Saccharomyces cerevisiae S288C: one gene and its partner. The gene in region 1 interacts genetically with each later gene. Each region holds a gene or a part of one and is shown in the gene's direction. Other genes may lie near its edges.

Region 1 (10,199 bases):
AGCCCAAAATTCTTCAACAGTTTGGAATGAAGTGACGGGACGTAATAGATCAGACCACGACTCAGATTTATCGACGGCTGGCTTTGTGTACCATAAAGTCCATTTGGTGTTCAATGGGTGCTTGACATCGAAGTGAGCACTGTCACTTAAAACAGTCTTTGGAGTAGCTGTGGTATCATCGACTGAAACGTTTTCTTCAAACTTCTTGCTAACTTCTTCAACGGACATTTTTCTTCCTTTCACTAGTTTTCAGACAAAAATGCTTTTATTTTTCGTAAAACTCCTAGGAAGTACTCAAGCACTAACACAAACACATATGTACAATATAAATCCAGAATTAACACTACCTCTTGCAATGTAAAACTCTCTTTATCAGGTATTGCATTAAACTCTATTGACGACGAAAAAAATTTTCTTTTCGGAGAGGGTAATAAAATTTTACCCGACCTTTTTGACGGGTAATATTACTCTAAACGATTTAACTAAACAATGGTGATGATATGTTAAACTATACATTATGTGGAGAACCTAGATGAATGCAACACCGGGGCAACCGCCGGGACATTCTTGTTCATTCTCATCGAGAAACCATTCTTGTATGCACTGGAAGTGACCTTCGTGTCCACAGGGGAGGATGACCATGGTCAGTTTCTTTAATGGTCTTTCACATAGAACACAAGATGTATTCTTCTTCTTACAAGAGTCACAATACCAGTATCCAAACTTGTCCATGATCTTCTTATTGCCCGTCTGCTGAGCTTCCGCTCTGAGCTTTTCTTTAGAACTTTCGTTAGTGATTAACTCACCACAGCGTTCGCAAAACAACCGAATGGAAGATTGGTCACCCTCAGAACCCATGATATCTTCGAATGGGCAGTATTTTAAGACGTCTGCAGCAATGCCGAAGAGTTCGTATCGATGTAATAATAACAAGAAGTGAGCGATTGCGTCCTTTGCAATGTCGATTTCTGTTATTTGGTATATCGTTTGGAAAAGAAATAAAATATTCACCGTCAATACGACGTTCCCAGTCTCAGTAGCTTGATTGTAGAGTTGTTTGATGAGTTTTTTCGTGTCCCAGGGTGGGTCAGCGATAATTTTCTTGCATTTGGCAAGCTTTTTCGTCAATGAAGAAGACAGTTGTTCCCTACCAATGCTATCTGGCCGTGATGGCGCATGTCTGGGCGATCCGATTATTGGTGCTGTATGGGAAGAAAGCTTTTTAAAAGTTTCTAGTTGCGAGGTTGTTGTGGCATAGCTTTGTAGCGACGAAACCTTACTGCGTGGGCTTACGCTGTTGTAAGTAAACCTAGGAGATATATTGTCATCTTCGTTACCTATGTCCGTATCTCCATTGTAACCGTTGGGAGAATGCAACATGAAAGTATCTATGAATGACTTGCGGTGCTCACGTTTCTGCAATATTGGTATACTTTTCGCGATAGGAGACGCGTGAAATTGTGCTGACTTAGTCGGTGAGTCATGAGGCTGTTCTTCTTCTTGATGTTCATGTTCGTCTTCCTCTATAATCACATCGTCACTCACTGTTTCTCCCATTTTAGTCCTTGACTCCAAGCGTTGGTTCTGTAGCTCTTTTAGCTTAGTTAAAACTTCATCTGAATCCTCATTTGGCTGCGCATAGGGGATTATTTCCGTGTTTTTGAGCTGCTCTTTGAGCTTAGAAACAGGTTTCTTTTCGGCATCACTTGGTTCATCAGAGTTAGCACGAAATGCCTGCGGCCTTTCTTCAACTAACGACTCAGCCCCACTTGTCCCTGCACCATCCTCCTCTGGGAACTCTTTTCCTGTTTTCAGATTTTCTCCAGCTTCGAAATCGGAGCTTTCATTGGCATCCATATTAGATGCGTTATCTGATGAAATTTGGGAGGAGGTCATCCACTTCAAGTCCCATAACAATGAATCTCTTATCAAGATCCAGATTTTGAAGTTGGTTAGATCATCTATGGATAGATAAACAGATGCGTTATGCGTTGCAATAGATATCAAATCTACCAGTGTTTGTATTTTTTCTTGCAGTTCTGCTTCCACGTTCTTGTCGATCTTCCTAGCTCTGTCATGACTTTGCCTACTTGCAGAAATGGAAGATATACTTGATCTGACATCCTTCTCGTCAAACTCCCTCGAACTACTGGAATTTCTTTTGGATTTTTTGTTATTTACTTTTTCATTCATTAAGGTAGCCCATGTATTATTTTCTGGAAAATTGTATTTTTTCAAAAGGTGACTTTCGATTATTTTGTCATCATCATCATCATCATCATCATCATCACCATCATCATTATTATTGGTAGTAGTAGTATTATCACCATGTGTTTCGGTTGCGTTTTTAACGACGTCAATGTTCTCTATATCATTTTTATATGCAGTGTCTGCACTGTCTGAAACATTATGCTCTCGAATATACGAAAACTTGAGCTGTCTCGCCAAATATTTGAACTTTTCTACTGGAGAATTTTTCATAGAAGAACTTTCGGAAATGACGTTCTTTTTTCTTGAATGTGCGATTTTGGTTAATCTTATGTTATTGAAGATCTGCGGTATATCCAAAGTGATGATACAAGGCGGTTCAATGGCGATTTCTTCTCTATTTTCAGTTTGTGGCGTCAGGGATGTCAATGATGCGGAAGAGCTGTTAAAAGAAGATGCTCCAGATGCTAATGTTAAGCTTTTTGTGCTAAACGTTGGGCCTGCTTTTAAAGTAGGCGGCCTCTCTGGCGTAAAACTTGTTAATCCAGTATGGCTAAATCCTTTTTTTATCCCTCCAATTATTCCCTGGTTCTCTGGATTGCCATTCTTCGGGTTTTTTATTGTACCTGGATGCTTCTTGCATGTGGTACTTGAGGTAGGTTGAAGCTCCGGTTCTACCACCTCATATGAGCCTATCTCTTGGTCAACTGAAAGTAAACCGTTACCATCCAAATCTCTCCAAGTTGTTGTATTTTTGCTCAAATTTTCGAGCACTGTTGGTTCTTTGTTAATGTCCCAGCCATTTATACGGGTCCCCTTATCGATATTAAAGATCAAGTTTTCGTCCCACCATACTAATCCTAAAGAAGGCGTTTCTGATAGGAGAACATGTTTTGGAATGTACTTTCTTGCCAAGGAATAGATGCGAACTTCAGCTTCGTCACCCATTGACGATATTCCTAGTAATGAATTATATATATTACTACTATAAGCAGGCTTGAACTTCAATTTAGTGACTGGATAGCCCGTATTAATTGTTAGTTTGGGAAATGCCAGCGAGCCGCTATTGTTCAAGGACGTATTGGGGGCATGTAACGAGGGAGAGTTCCCGTAATTGAGGACTGTATTTTCGGCGGCATTGGCATTGTCGCCAACAAACCAGAGGCAGCATTTACCGTCTCTACCACCTGTAGCAATGTATTCTTGATTGGGATGCCAATTTAAACAAAGACCGGGTCCTGTGTGAGCATTTAATTTTTTTTCGTATTGGGCAGGTTGTCGAAGATCAAACTTTAGCAAGTATCCCGAATCGTGAATAGAAGCAAATTTGTAACCGCTTTTTAAATTACCATACGTTGATGAACCTTGATCGTTCTTAGATGCAAAATTGTAACCGGGCATCCATTTTACATCTCTGATTGAGTCAGATGCGGTATTTATACTAATGTCAGATCTATTTGAGCTTTTAGATTTATTGGAACGTAAATCCCATATTTTTACACAACTATCTTGTCCACCACTTATTATTAGGTTTGATTCGACCATGTTGAAGTCAAAACTATTGATAGATCTAGTGTGTTCGCATAAGGATGTTATCAAGGGATTGTCTATCGAGGAACTCTTATTGAGATCATATATCGATATCGCCGTAGAATTGTTGCACACTGCAATACAGTTCTTGTAATTATTAAATCCAGTCTTAACATCCGCAATGGTACTAAATTTGTTCTGTCTTGTTCTTTTGCTCAGCTTGGGCAAAAGGGATGTCGTTCCCCTTGTTGAGGTGTTGCTATTAGGTGTTATGAAATCATGAACGCATTTGATAGATCTATCTGAGGGCGAGAATTTATAGAGCCCCAAATGAGTTTTACCTGCACAAACAAGACCGTTAATGTTTGGATCATTCACTTTGTCTATACTAGATAATTCTTTATCCACTTTGGTGGTGTAAATGAGTCCAGACGACTTTCTTGTATTTGTGTTGATTGCATTTTTCTTTGTTTTGATTTTCATGTTCGATTTATTGCTCATGCTTCCGGTTGTTTTTGCGTAAGGATTCTTATCATATGGCAAATAACTATCGTTGAATGAACTAGTTCTGTGACTTTCAGGCATATAAACCCCATTACTGTAAGAAAAAGTTGGAGTTAGATTAGGTCGCCGTATAGAATCTAACACGGAAGGTTGTCCACTATTTGAGTAATGATTCATTCGAAAAGAAGAATTGTTGCTTGACGAAGATCCAAGAAACTCGCCCTTGCCTATAGAACTAACGTTTCTGTTTTTTGGTATCGGGGTACTCCCCTTGGGAATGGAAGCATTTTCTACGTGTGGTGATAAGCTCATGATTTTCAACTAAATCCACTCAATAGCTCACTCGCCTTCAGCCAGCAATCGCACCATATGTATTATCAATCGGTTTTCCTTTTTCAGTAATCATCGTTATATATCGATGTTTTTGACAAATTAAAAAGAACGTTCCGAGACAGAAAAATTTAAACTCTCCGATCATGCATAGCTAGACATTCAACAGTATTCTAAAATGCTATAGTAAGAAACCAAGAATAAGATCCTAGGGATTCATAGTATAATTTAATCCATATATAAGTTTTCAGCATGGATGCTTCCTCGGTTCCACCAAAGGTAGATGATTATGGAATGTATACAACTGAAATTTCACATCATAACCCAATAGAGTTGAAAAATCTGCTATCATCATCAGACTCCAGAAGAAATTCTCAAGATGAAGATAGTCTACCTAACAATACAAACTTAATCAAAGAAATTGACTGGCAGGGCGAGAAAGTTAAAACATATCCACTAAACTATCAAACTGTACCACTAGTAAAGCTGCAGGTGATAGCATGCTTGATTATGTTCGTAGTCTTTGGTATGAACGATCAAACAGTAGGTGCACTACTTCCTACGCTAATTGAATACTATCATATATCGCGGGTAGATGTCTCAAACGTATTTATAGTCCAATTATGTGGTTATGTGATGGCGTCTTTATCAAAAGAGAGATTGAATAAGCACTTTGGTATGAGAGGTGGTATGCTTCTAGCAGCTGGTTTGTGTATAGTATTTCTTATCATTTTAGCAACTGCACCTTCTAGTTTCTATGTTTGTATGTTTTGTGGCCTTCCTCTTGGTTTAGGGATCGGCATCTTAGATTCTACCGGTAATGTTTTAATGGGCAGTCTTTTAGTCCATAAGAATGAACTCATGGGTATCATGCATGGTCTTTACGGGGCAGCAGCTATGGTTACTCCTCCCTTAGTTTCATATTTTGTTGAATGGGGTCATTGGTCTCTTTTTTTCCTTATTCCTCTGTTCTTTTCTATAATAGGCATGATTGTAATCTTCCCAGCTTTTAAATTTGAAACTGCAAGTAAATACGACTACCTCTGCTCTGTGGAAAACAAAGAAAGCAACAATGATGTGGAAGAAGCGGGTGATAACTCGCTGATGGAATCTACCAAGGCGAGCCCAGGATTTTTTGAACTTTTAAGAAATCCTGCTATTTTCTTGTACTCATTGTATTTGTTCCTTTACTTAGGTGCTGAAATTACAACTGGTTCATGGTTCTTTAGTTATTTATTGGAAACTAAATCAAGTAATAAGGTTGCTATGTCATACATAGCGGCATCGTTTTGGACAGGTTTGACTGTAGGCAGGTTGTGTCTAGGATTTGTTACTGAAAGATTCTTCGAAAACGAGTATAAAGCAAGCAAAGCGTACGCTTTTTTAACTCTATCTTCATACACCTTATTTGTGCTTGTTGGGTTGATCAATTCAAGCTCAGTTTTCTATTTCGTCGTGTTATTTTTTGTTGTTTTTTGTTGTGGTACGTTTATCGGACCATTATTCCCAAACGCAAGTATAGTTGCATTACAAGTATTGCCCAAAAGACTACATGTGAGCGGGGTTGGGGTTGCCGTCGCCGTTGGTGGTTGTGGTGGTGCAGCCATTCCATATTTGGCTGGAGTTATTGCACACACAGTGGGAATCCAGTATATCCCACTATTGTGTTGGATTATGGTTGCGTTATTTACATTGGAATGGACATTGTATCCTAAATTCATAAAAGGGCATGAAGAATATTTTTAGTTTCAGAAACGCCATCGGTGCCAGTGCATTGCAACTAATTCCAAAATTAGAAAAATAAAGCTGTTGAATAATTGTAACAGAAAGATAGAAAGGCGGAAGATAAAAGGAACTTCAGACAACATATGGAACTTTTTGATATATAGTATACATAATGACACTCTTGGTCGTTTACAAATAGATAGAATTTTAAGGAAAAAGTAATACTATCTGAAGTCTATAAAGAGCTTTTGAAAGCTGCTTCAGTAGTGCAAAAAAAGTGTATAGTAGCCTTTTCAAGATAACATAATGTAACTAGCGGTACCAAGGAAACTGTAAAAGAATAGAAAAACATGCGAAAAGGTCGTAAAAATGGTCATTAAAAGGCGGGAGGTAGATGGAGTTCTGGAGAGGATCATAAATATAATAAAGGAGTACCGATATTCAACTCCCGTATGGTAAAGTATCAGTCAAGCAAATCCGTTGCTTTCAATTAGGCTCTGCAAATCATCAAAAAATTTATCATTAACAACAGAGTCTAGTGTAGTTAAAGTTTCCTCTGAGCTATTTCCAAAACTTTCAAAAAACAATTTAACAGCTTCGATGTATTCAAAACCAAACATCTGAGAATAGTGATTGATGAAATTTTCAATAACCATAATGGTGTCCCTAATTTGCTTGCCGCAGGTTGAAGGGTAATGACTTTGATTTAAAGAATGTGGCTCAACGACGCCCGCATTAATAACATTGAAGAAAAATAAGCTCGTATCGATTTCTTCATGTTGGCTGATATATCGATGGATTTGATTGAACTCATCAAGGGAGAAAGGTGTAAACTGCGAATAGTAATGTTTTAATCTCTTTGCAAAATCTTTGATGGCAAGTTCATAAGGTTTGTCTAAGTAGTCTTCATTAAACGATTTATTGTGGATATTGTATTTGATAAAGCTTCTGTTAAAACATGACACCTGTAAGATTATGGGCACCAAATTGAAACTAGAAAGCTCATCTGTATTGAACGAACAAACCTCCTCAAATATAAATCTTCTTCTTTCGATGGTCGAATTTGTGGCGTCGAAGATTCCCACGTCACATTCATCGTTGTTGATTTCGTGAAACAACTTTTGCAAAGTGATCCTGGCATACGTTTCCTTTTTATCGTTATTTTTCGGATTAAATAAGTCTTCCGAAGATGTATTCGACAAAAGCAAAGGCTTTGAAATGGTAGCACAACTGATTTGCCTTCTTATCTTACCAGCATTAAAAACTTTACAGCGTAATGAATTAGTTAGCGGATTGTTCTTCAAACATTGAATTAAATGAGAAGAAATGGTAGACTTCCCAGTAGCTGGTAGCCCAATCAAAACAATCATAAACTTGTTAACTTTTCCATTTGTATACGTAGGGTCTGCATTGTCTCTTTTGTAATTCAGTGTAATGGGTAAGTGTAACGGGTCGTTAGAAATAAACCTTGGGACCTCTGTAGACAGCAGTGAACTTTTGTGATTATCGAAAAAAACAGAATCTTGACAATCTAAAGTGGCTCTGTCGAGAGATGCGCTTGAATAGCTGTTACCGGTGTTAAGTGAAAAAAGAGAATTCGAGGAATTATATTCGGAAGTCAAATATCCATCGTGAGAGTCTGAATCGGAAGAACCACCCATTTTCAAACTTCCAGCGGAAAAAACGCGTTCGTTATCCCTTTTCTTCCTTTTCCTTATATCTAAAATATTAAAAATCGCGTAAGGTAATTTGTTTCGAGGGCAGTGGAACTTGAAGCCAAATAAGAAGTATAAGTACTGGGCTCTCCTAGTATTTCCGGTTTAGTGTTACTCGTATATGAGCGTATCAGACTTTTTAACACCCTCTAAAAAAGCAAATAAGTTGGTTTGCTGTGGCACCAAAATAAGCGAAAACACCTTTGTTTAGAGCACGTCTTCTTTTATATAAGCCAATCTTCCACACGAAAAACCGAGTAATCCAATTTACTTTTTCTACTTTTTTTTCATTATCAATCGATTCAGATGCCCAGAGAAGAAAAAGAAAAAAAAGGAAAACAATTTCCGTTGCAGACTCATCTGTGCGCGATTTCTGTGAAAAGGTGGGGCACTTGTGCCTGGAATCTCGGAAATACGTCAATTAATTTTTGGTATATATTCCGATAAGCTATAGTTCGTATTTTTCCGTTCCGAGGGAGGTGTACGGGTGGACTACCACGTGCCTACTATACGCTATACGGTAGTTGAAAATGTATATAGTTACACAAATGATTTATAATAGTGTGGTCATTGGGACGACGATGGAGGAGATTGTGATCCGGTTCTTAAGGTGTCCTGTATGCTGGTGAGTTTGTCGTGTACCTGTTTGCATACTTGCTCGATCTCGCGAATTTCCCCGCGCTTGTATTCTAATTGTTCTTCCAATAGCATAATAAGGGACTCTCGGGACTGATGGGGTCTGTACTCATTAAGTAGGTGGTGAATATTGACAAGAATGGTCCTTATGTTCTCCACTTTGCGCTCATACATATCCGGATTTATGCTCAATACGCCGATGAGTTCCAAGTAATTTAGCAGGAGGGATTTCAATAGTTTGCGTAGCTCTTGGATTTTGTATTGATAATTTGTGCTTTCGTTTTCTGTGGATTTCTTATAAAGTTGGGTGAGTCCCATGCTCTCTAAATCGGGCAGTTGGTCCTTCACCTGCCATATACTCCCAAACGCTCGGTACTGCTGATTTTTGGGCATGGGGGGTGGGATTAGGTAATCTAGCGCACATGTAATCTCCTCTTCACTGCCGCCGTTACTGTTATTTGGAGCCGTCTGCTTCGCACTTGCGGCCTTCTTTTCTTTGTATTTTGGTAATTTTTCCAGATTGGACTGTGTGAAAAACTTCACGTATGGGGGTGGAGGTGGGTACAAGGAGCTAACCTCATTACCAGGATCATTGGACATTTTTAGTTTGTGAATTTTTTTTTTACTAGCTTAAATTTGGGATATGAAACCTCTTTTATGTCATATTTGCACGTCTAATGACCTGCCTGCTGAAAATGCAAGATTCGTTGTTTAAGTTCTAACTAACATTTCGTATTTCGTGATAATAGTTTCTTTTAAAGGTGTGAAGAGGGAGATCATGAAACCCACAATAGACGTATGGGCTTCAATATGTGCAATGTTGGTTGCTACTAAATGTCTTTCTCCAGTGGCAGAGAACTTTAAAGAGAAATAGTTCAACATGAGCAACGAAGTTGACAGGATGGATGTTGATGAAGATGAATCGCAAAATATTGCGCAAAGCTCAAACCAAAGTGCGCCAGTGGAAACCAAAAAGAAGAGATTTGAAATTAAGAAATGGACCGCAGTGGCGTTTTGGTCATGGGATATAGCTGTTGACAACTGTGCTATTTGCAGGAACCATATAATGGAACCATGCATTGAATGCCAGCCAAAGGCCATGACGGACACTGATAATGAATGTGTAGCAGCCTGGGGTGTCTGTAATCACGCTTTCCATTTGCACTGTATTAATAAATGGATCAAGACAAGAGACGCATGCCCATTAGATAACCAACCTTGGCAGTTAGCAAGATGCGGTAGGTGAAAAAATGAATTGCCCGTAAACATTTAAATCATACCGAGGTAGAAGGATTATGGCATGTTCCTTTTTTTTTAGAGTATGTCAACTGGCGCAGTAGATACATGTTTTTCTCTTCCACGTCGAATTTTGTTATATACATAGCATAATCGAGTTGTATGCACCCTTTTTGTTTATCTCGTTAGTAACTCGGGGTAGGAATAAGACATCCACAAAGGTGACAGAACAAAATCATCCTAGCCTTGTTCATAATCTACCTCTATATAGCCGCTAAAAAATTAGTAGTATTTTGACTCTTTAAGAGCACATTT
Region 2 (9,606 bases), on another chromosome or scaffold:
AGTTATATTACGACCAAAAAACACATTTCCCATCACAGTTAAATGCTCTAATTCCAGAATATTAGGAATATCTGGTACTCCTATCTTAAAAGTCTCATAAGTTGCAAACTCATCGCCCAAGTCGATTGAAGGTAATAATCCAAATTTCAGAGGGTAGAGGTTAAATGTTCCATTTGAATCGAGATCATATAATGTTGATTTCAACAAAAACAAGTCCTTACATGTTCTTAGGGGTAAAAATCTGTCTCTTGATACTTTCAATACTCGACTGTTCGGAAAGAAGGCAATACAATCGACCAACTGTGTCTTAAATTGAAGACACTCTATCTCTTCATTTTTGTGTGTTATTTTACTTTCACTAGAATGAATTGGCAAATTTAAACTATTAGACTCTATTAGCACCTTTAGCTTTTTCAAATCAATCCAAATGTTATTAGTGTTGACAATTCGACACGTGCTTGCACTTTCATTGGATAAGCAGTTGTAATAAACCGATCGTAGTTTACCTTTATATGTTGCCAACACTCCAGTGTTTGAAACATTTGCAGTCCTTTCAACTACTTCAACAAGATACTCGATTTTTTCATTTATGATGAAATTTAAAATGTTCAAATCTCCTGTAGCGCCCAAATTGTCAACATTTGAAACAAATAAAATCTCTTTTCCTTGAGCAATTAATTTGTCCAATTCTCCTGAAAAATACAAAGTGTCAGTTAGGTTACCAGTCCCGCAAGGATACCAAAAATCATTTTCATGAGAATTTATTTGTAAATCGATAGGTAATAATCTATCTTTATCAATTTGTGGAAAGCTTGACTGAACTACGGTTTTCCATCTCACTTTGCTAGAAGAATAATGCTCTTCAAGGAAGTTTGATACTTGAGATTCAGTTTCAAGCGAGGTCATAAATATAAGAGGAACGTCTGAATTATATCGTACATTCAAATTTTGCGTTTGTCGAACTATTACATCCAATGAAGACATCCCATTTTTTACTTCGAATAAAGGGCTTTCTTTACCAATGATTGGATTAGCCTTTCCGGTTAATTTTAAAATAGCTAACTTTGATAATAGTTTACCCTCTAACAAACCGTAATTTTTAATATCATCGAGTTCAACCACTTCATCAATTATCGGTAATCTAATTTTGTCACAAACTAGATCATGGGTGATTGAAGTATTTTCTAAGACATATCTTTGAAAAATGTGCAAAAATAGGCTAAACTCATAATTCTTGTCACGTATCGAAGGAAAATGTTTCTGCAAGGCCCTTATCATTTGTGACATAACAACATCCTTTCCAATACCTTCGAAAGTACCTTCAAACTCTATTTTATTTACTCCAGAGAAAACCGTCATTGATCTTGTATATACTATGTAGAACAGTGAAATATTTTTCCTTTTTTTTTTTATTATCAAGAATCACTTGTGTCAGTTATCGTTAAATTCCAGGTTACAAAAAGATTGTAAATGCCAGGGAAAATACAATTCAAAAAAGTTACAGTATAGTTATATTTAATTACTTAAATTTACTTTTTTTACTATAAGGTGCTATTCCTGCATTCTTTTTTTAATTAATCAGGACTTATAAGCTGATAGTACTTTCATTCTTTTTTTTTTGTGTGATAAGGCCATTGAACATTATGGAAGACTAACTACTTTTTCTTCAAGAAAATTGTGTGCTTCTACTCTCGTTCAATACAGGAAATTTTAATTCCAACAGAGTGGAAATTTATGGTTTTCTTACCACAATAAATTTCTCAATTGTTAAAATCTGAAAAGTTGGCAGCCCTGGCCCTGTCAAAGAAAGTATTATTATGCGTCGCGAAATTTCTTTTTCTTCACGCCTTGTTTTTAGTTTGGGCATCTCGAAAGCATCTAATACAAAATCCAACTAAAGCACAGCATTCAATCTAGTAGAGAGAACAAGAGATATTCATCATGACCGGCATGGAATCAGGAGAGAATTTGGAAAACATGGAAGATATTTTGGCGAGACATCGCAAGGAAAATAAAGATTTACAGAATAAGATAACGGGTATGAAAAAGCAGGCTACTAAATCCAAAAGGAAAGAAGTTAATTCGAAATGCCTAGATCTTCAAGATAAACTAAAGACTAAGCAAGAAAATGAAATAAGGGATTGGAAAATTGCAAATAATGAAGTGTTTGACGCAGAACAAGAAGATGAAGTGACTCCTGAAAAACTTTTAGAACAACTATCCATATCTCGAGATGAGAAAGAACAACAGAATGTTCCCGTTCAACAACAGCAACAAGGCCAGACAAAGAAGCGTCGCAATAGACAAAAGGAAAGATTGGCCAAAAGAGATGCAGCAATTGCTAAAATGAAAGAAGAGGCTGCTTTAGAAGCATCCAAACAACCGGACTTGAAAAAAATGGAGCAGGAGTCTATAGATCAGTTATGCGAGTTGAAGAAACTGAAACAATTCGATATACAACCCGATGGCCACTGTCTCTTTGCATCTATATTAGATCAGTTAAAATTACGCCATGATCCAAAAAAACTGGATCAAGACATGGATGTCATGAAGCTGAGATGGTTGAGTTGTAATTACGTACAGGAGCACAGGGATGATTTCATTCCATATTTGTTTGATGAAGAAACTATGAAGATGAAAGACATTGATGAGTATACGAAAGAGATGGAGCATACAGCTCAATGGGGTGGTGAAATTGAGATTTTGGCTCTCTCTCACGTTTTCGACTGCCCCATTAGCATTCTGATGAGTGGAAGACCTATTCAAGTGTACAATGAATGTGGGAAAAATCCTGAATTGAAGCTAGTTTACTATAAACACAGCTATGCATTAGGTGAGCATTATAATTCATTGCATGATTCTTGATTTTTCCCATCCGTATCTAATGAGATATGCTTATTTGTAAACCTTAATGCATCTATTTAATTGTATAGTTTGAAGCATATGGATATAAAAGAATAAAGAGAAGTAATAATCGGATATGAACATTGGTGGAGGAAAATTTTTACTTGGGAGGATATCGAATAATCCAACTTCAGGGATAGTAGGGCTTGCTAATGTTGGTAAATCGACTTTTTTCCAAGCAATAACAAACTCAAAATTGGGAAATCCTGCAAATTATCCATTCGCTACCATTGACGCAGAATGTGCCAAAGTCAATATACCTAGCGTGCCGCTCTCTAATTTATTGAGAATATATCAGAGTGCGAAATGCGTACCTGGAACACTCACAATATATGATATTGCTGGGCTCACCAGAGGCGCATCTCAAGGCCATGGTTTGGGTAACAAGTTCTTAAACGATATCAGACACGTAGAGGGGATATTTCAAGTGGTGAGAGGATTCTTAAAGGAAGACATCACCCATATAGAAGGTAATGTTGATCCTGTCAGAGATCTATCCGTGGTACAAGATGAACTCATCTTGAAAGACTTAGAATTTCTGGAAAACATTAGGGAAAGACTTAGTAAGAAGATGAGAATGGTTTCGAAGAATTCTAAAGAACATCAGGAAATGAAGATAGAGACAGAATTATTAGATGCATTAGAGGAACATTTGTTTAACGGTAAAAAAATCCGGCATTTCAAAGATCATTGGAACCTGGATGAAGTCAAAATTTTGAATAAGCATAACTTTTTAACCTCCAAACCAACTTTGATATTGCTAAATGTTTCACCTCAAGATTACGTTAGGAATGAAAATAAATTTGTCAGAAATATTATAGAATGGATTAACGAATTTTCGCCAGGAGATAAATTCCTACTTTTCAGTGCAGAATTTGAATCGCAATTGATGGAATGTAAAGGCATAGCGTCAGAGTATTTTGACAAGATCAAGGAAGATACCAATGTTTCTGATCAACAGTTAGTTTCTGCGATACCGCAAATAATACTAGAAATGAGAAAGTTGTTGAACTTAATTAGCTTCTTTACATGCGGCCCACAAGAAGTTCACCAATGGAATATAAGGGAGGGAACCACCGCTCAAGAGGCCGCGGGTGTAATCCATAGCGACTTGCGTGAAACATTTATCAGCGCTGATGTAATAAAATATGACGATCTGAAGAAGATGGAACCACCGCTAAATGAGTCTTTACTAAAATCTAAGGGACTTATCAAACGTGCAGGCAAACAATATATTATGCAGGACAATGACATTGCCTTATTCAAAGCCGCCGGTGGGAAAATTAAGAAATAGTTTGTCATAAAAAATACTTGTAAATATGAATAGAAACGCTTGCTTTGTTTTGTCTTTTCCAATAATTACACAAGAATCAACAAAAGTATGAGATATATATATATATATATATATATATATTATATTTGCATAAGGTTTAACCACTGATAGTAAGACAGAGGTATATCGAGGAACTGTGTTTACCTAGAGTGGGCTGATTCTAATAGTGCAGCTATATGCGAAAATGAGAAAAAAGGAACCGCTGAATTCAATAATATATTTTGGTTAATGGACGAGAAAAAGAGGAATCTAATGGAAATTATTTCCAGTTAGAACCAGCTTAGTTGGAAGCAACAACAACTTCGACATCCACACCAGGTTCAATGGTGATTTGAGTGATTCTCTTAACGATTTGAACAGGAGCTTCCAAGTCGATGTATCTCTTGTGGATTCTCATTTCGTAGGTTTCCCAAGTCTTAGAACCTTCACCATTTGGAGTCTTTCTGGTGGAGATCTTCAAAACCTTGGTTGGTAGTCTGACTGGACCCTTCTTGACCAAGTTGTGTTGTTCAGCGTTCTTGACAATGTTGGAAGAGACGTTTTCCAATTGCTTAACCTTGGTGGAGGTCAAAGTGATTCTAATCTTGATGATTTGTTGTTGTTGTTGTTCTTGTTCTTCAACCTTTTCCTTTTGAAAGTCAGACATTTTGTATATACCTTTTTGTTTATTTTACTTGCTTTCTTGTAGGAGTTTCAATCTAAAGCTGAGCTTGAATGAAATAACCCATCTTTACTATTATTTTGAATTCAATACGGTCTATTACTCAATCTCTGAGGCTAGTCGCGAATGCGTCGAAGTTTTTTTTTCAAAATTAAAACATTATCGTTACCCGAACTTTATCTTCATAAAAATAGTTGTGGCATTTTTTCTCTTATGTTTACGGATGTAGAAAATGTACAGGTGTGAACTTGCAGGTAAACATTTTTACATTTTTACTTTTATCTTTTCCCCTTCTATAGAGATAAAAATAAGAAGTTTCAGGGAAATCTCTCTTTCCATAGTAAATAGTGTTAGCAGCAGACAAGACAAGAAGGATATCAATGACGATACGCATTTTTCCGAATGATCTGGTCAGATAATTCTTTTTTTCCCTTTATCGGGAGGTTTTGATGAGAAAACGATGTCAATAGTATTCTAGTCACAATAGGGAGCTAGACGGCTATTCAATCAGAATGCGACTATCCGGAGTTATCCTCAATGATAGACGTTTCTCCAGTTAGGAGCGCCAAGAATGTGTGAACAAAATGCACAAGGTGCAGATTTGGCGCTCTTTATCAGCGCTTCATACGGTAGATATGAACTTTAATTTTGAGATTAGCCAAGACCAAAGGTTCTCTTAAAGATGCAAAAGCAGTCATACAGGTATTTGTTTTATGCAGCAAGGCTGACTCAAACTAGGCATTCCAATTCTGTTTATCTATTGGTGCCGCACCTTTTTTCCGATGATGAAATGAGGCGGCGCACATTTGGGTGTTATCTTATCGGGATATTTTATGATAGCAAATGCGACAGACAATAATGCTCGAGAGTGGACAGGCCAATAGTCAGTTGCAGCATAGAAACAAGCAGGCGTACCTATGGGAAAGGTGTAACTCATCATTGCGCTTTCTACGGTACGGTTATCCTTAGATAACAGGCAAGATGTGCTCTATTCATCGGTGTTGCATGAAGATACGTCTTGTTCGCCAAGTATATAAAATGAAGCAGTAGTATAGCCGTAGCTTTACTATTGTTAGCAGTTTCCCTTGTCTAGATTCTTAAATTGGGTTCATCCAAGAAAAAGTAATAACATAAATTTGTCATTGTTATAGTATGGGAGAATTTAAACCTCCGCTACCTCAAGGCGCTGGGTACGCTATTGTATTGGGCCTAGGGGCCGTATTTGCAGGAATGATGGTTTTGACCACTTATTTACTGAAACGTTATCAAAAGGAAATCATCACAGCAGAAGAATTCACCACCGCCGGTAGATCTGTAAAAACCGGCTTAGTGGCTGCAGCCGTGGTTTCTAGTTGGATCTGGTGTTCTACATTGTTAACGTCGTCAACAAAGGAATATGCAGACGGTATATTTGGCGGTTATGCGTACGCTGCTGGCGCATGCTTCCAAATTATTGCATTCGCAATTTTGGCAATTAAAACCAAGCAAATGGCTCCCAATGCGCACACATATTTAGAATTAGTGAGAACAAGATATGGTAAGATCGGCCATGGTTGCTACTTGTTTTATGCCATCGCGACGAATATTTTAGTCACTTCAATGCTTTTAACTTCAGGTTCTGCTGTCTTTAGTGATTTAACCGGGATGAACACTATCGCATCATGTTTTTTACTGCCTGTGGGTGTTGTTGTTTATACTCTATTTGGTGGGATTAAAGCAACTTTCTTAACGGACTATATGCACACATGTGTCATTATCATCATTGTCCTCGTATTTGCCTTTAAAGTTTATGCGACTAGTGATGTTTTAGGCTCACCGGGAAAAGTTTATGACTTAGTTCGTGAAGCCGCCAAGAGGCATCCAGTAGACGGTAACTATCAGGGTGAATATATGACCATGACATCCAAATCCGCTGGTATTTTATTAATTATTAACCTGATTGGAAATTTCGGCACCGTTTTCCTTGATAATGGTTATTGGAATAAAGCGATTTCTGCTAGTCCCGCAGCGAGTTTGAAAGCATATGCCATCGGTGGGTTAGCATGGTTTGCAGTACCTTCTTTGATTTCATTGACCATGGGATTAGCATGTCTTGCGGTGGAAACGTCTCCGAACTTCCCCACCTATCCTGATCCACTTACTTCGTTCCAGGCAAATTCTGGGTTAGTCTTGCCGGCAGCTGCAATTGCTATCATGGGTAAGGGGGGTGCTGTGGCATCGCTGCTAATGATTTTCATGGCCGTCACATCTGCTATGTCTGCTGAACTAATTGCCGTTTCATCTGTTTTCACTTACGATATCTATAGAGAATATATTGATCCTCGTGCAAGCGGTAAGAAATTGATTTACACATCACACGTTGCTTGTATCTTTTTTGGTCTTGCCATGAGTGGATTTTCGGTTGGTTTATACTATGGTGGTATTTCTATGGGTTATATCTATGAAATGATGGGTATAATTATTAGTAGTGCAGTATTACCTGTCGTTTTGACCTTATGTTCCAAAGACATGAATTTGGTGGCCGCTGTAGTGTCGCCTATTTTGGGCACAGGACTGGCTATAATGTCATGGCTTGTCTGTACCAAATCCCTTTATAAAGAATTGACCGTGGATACTACGTTCATGGATTATCCAATGTTAACAGGTAACTTGGTGGCTTTGCTATCACCAGCCATTTTTATTCCTATTTTAACGTATGTGTTTAAGCCACAAAATTTTGACTGGGAGAAAATGAAAGATATTACTAGAGTTGACGAAACTGCAGAGTTAGTTCAGGCTGACCCTGATATCCAGCTTTACGATGCTGAAGCTAACGATAAGGAACAAGAAGAAGAAACAAATTCTCTGGTCTCAGATAGTGAAAAAAACGATGTTAGAGTAAATAATGAAAAATTGATTGAGCCTAACCTTGGTGTTGTAATAAGTAATGCCATTTTTCAAGAAGATGACACACAGTTACAAAATGAATTAGACGAAGAACAAAGAGAACTAGCACGTGGTTTAAAAATTGCATACTTCCTATGTGTTTTTTTCGCTTTGGCATTTTTGGTAGTTTGGCCCATGCCCATGTATGGTTCCAAATATATCTTCAGTAAAAAATTCTTTACCGGTTGGGTTGTTGTGATGATCATCTGGCTTTTTTTCAGTGCGTTTGCCGTTTGTATTTATCCACTCTGGGAAGGTAGGCATGGTATATATACCACTTTGCGAGGCCTTTACTGGGATCTATCTGGTCAAACTTATAAATTAAGGGAATGGCAAAATTCGAACCCACAAGATCTGCATGTAGTAACAAGCCAAATTAGTGCGAGAGCACATAGACAATCATCACATTTCGGACAAGTTGATGAAATAATTTAGCTTTCAAAATATAATATTCTATCCACTCATCAACCTCATTAATAATTTTTAAATAGCTCTAATTATAAAATAGTCTTTCATTATAGGTACATAAAAGAAAAGAAAGTCAAGGGGAAAAAAAAAAAAAAAAGGAAATTTCTAAATTTATGTTATTTGGTCCGTTTATGTAGTACTTCTATCATTTTTTGCATCTCTGTCGTAATCTACGTCGAACAATACGTCATTATTTGCGTTCGTATTTGCATTTACACTTGGCACTTCTTCAAAATCGGATGCTAAATCAATATCCATATTGTGATCGTGTTCCTGGTAGTCATTACGTGGCTCTCTATTAGGCAATGCCTCATCAGACAAGGAATTTATGTCATCTAAATCGAATTCTGATACATTTTCCATGTCAGTTGGTAATTGATGCGAGCACGCTAGTAAATATGATGTACTTGTAGGTCTCCAGAAGAATGCGAAAATGACGAAGACCAAGAAGTAAACGAAACTAGGCCAAGTATCTGTGATGAGGAATTCTGTTTTCCAATATTGTTCTATCATGTCAACAGTGTCCATACCGACGTATGCAAAAGTAGAGACTAGTAAGCCTAAGAAGAGTATAAACAACGAAATATAACACAATATGATCAGTTTTCTGTACATGTTTAATTTCACCACTTGGTTTTGTTCCCTCAAATAAGTCATTGTTTTGTTCATTGAAGACAGTGTCAAATAATAGAAAGCGAATAGACATAATACTAAGGGGATAGCAGTAATCAAAATCAAATTGGATAAAGACTCAGAATTCTGGGAATATTTTTGGACCAGGAATGCAACGCACACTGCAAACGTAAATATCGCAAATATTTGACATCTTCTTAGCAATGTACGGTCCAGTTTTGGATATACTATACCATATCCAAGAGATATCAGCAAGGCGAGGAGAAGCGTGAAAGTCATCTTACCGGCGCTAAAGATCGATATGAAAACCATATAGACATGAAGAGCGACGCTGGAGTTTCCCTTCTGGTTCTCAATAATATAGTACATCCAGACGAAAATAGTATCAGCTGTTAGGAAAATACAAAATACCAAAATGTACCTTTGTAAAGGCAGTAACTCATGTCTATGCTTCCAGCATAGCCAAGAGTACACTAATGTACAGACGGCATAAGCGACGGCCAAAAAGGCATAAATAGGCATCTTGTACGCCTCTGAAGCGTCCAATTGACCGTAAGCGTTCCTAAAATTCACTGTAGCCTTAAACTTGGAACTGGAAGAAATGAAAGATGACGTGGTCACACAATAGTAACCAGTTTTGTTAATTGAGTATACCTTGTCGTTAGTGCCCAATTCTTGTTGA

The links.
Region 2: mutations in BSC6 (region 1) and OTU2 together harm fitness more than expected from each alone (negative genetic interaction), as found in Saccharomyces cerevisiae (one large-scale study listed by BioGRID).

What each region holds. Positions count from the first base shown.
Region 1 is NC_001147.6:60,797-70,995, forward strand, and holds BSC6 (Bsc6p), read left to right. Parts: upstream 1-4,824; coding exon 4,825-6,318; downstream 6,319-10,199. Other genes in the region: CDC33 (translation initiation factor eIF4E), read right to left, coding at 1-228; RTC1 (Rtc1p), read right to left, coding at 529-4,554; PFK27 (6-phosphofructo-2-kinase), read right to left, coding at 6,765-7,958; mediator complex subunit MED7, read right to left, coding at 8,580-9,248; SCF ubiquitin ligase complex subunit HRT1, read left to right, coding at 9,529-9,894. UniProt on the Saccharomyces cerevisiae protein: Probable transporter.
Region 2 is NC_001140.6:70,689-80,294, reverse strand, and holds OTU2 (deubiquitinase OTU2), read left to right. Parts: upstream 1-1,941; coding exon 1,942-2,865; downstream 2,866-9,606. Other genes in the region: YHL012W (UTP--glucose-1-phosphate uridylyltransferase), read right to left, coding at 1-1,359; YLF2 (Ylf2p), read left to right, coding at 2,981-4,198; 40S ribosomal protein uS10 RPS20, read right to left, coding at 4,518-4,883; YHL015W-A (uncharacterized protein), read right to left, coding at 5,513-5,596; DUR3 (Dur3p), read left to right, coding at 6,051-8,258; YHL017W (uncharacterized protein), read right to left, coding at 8,421-9,606.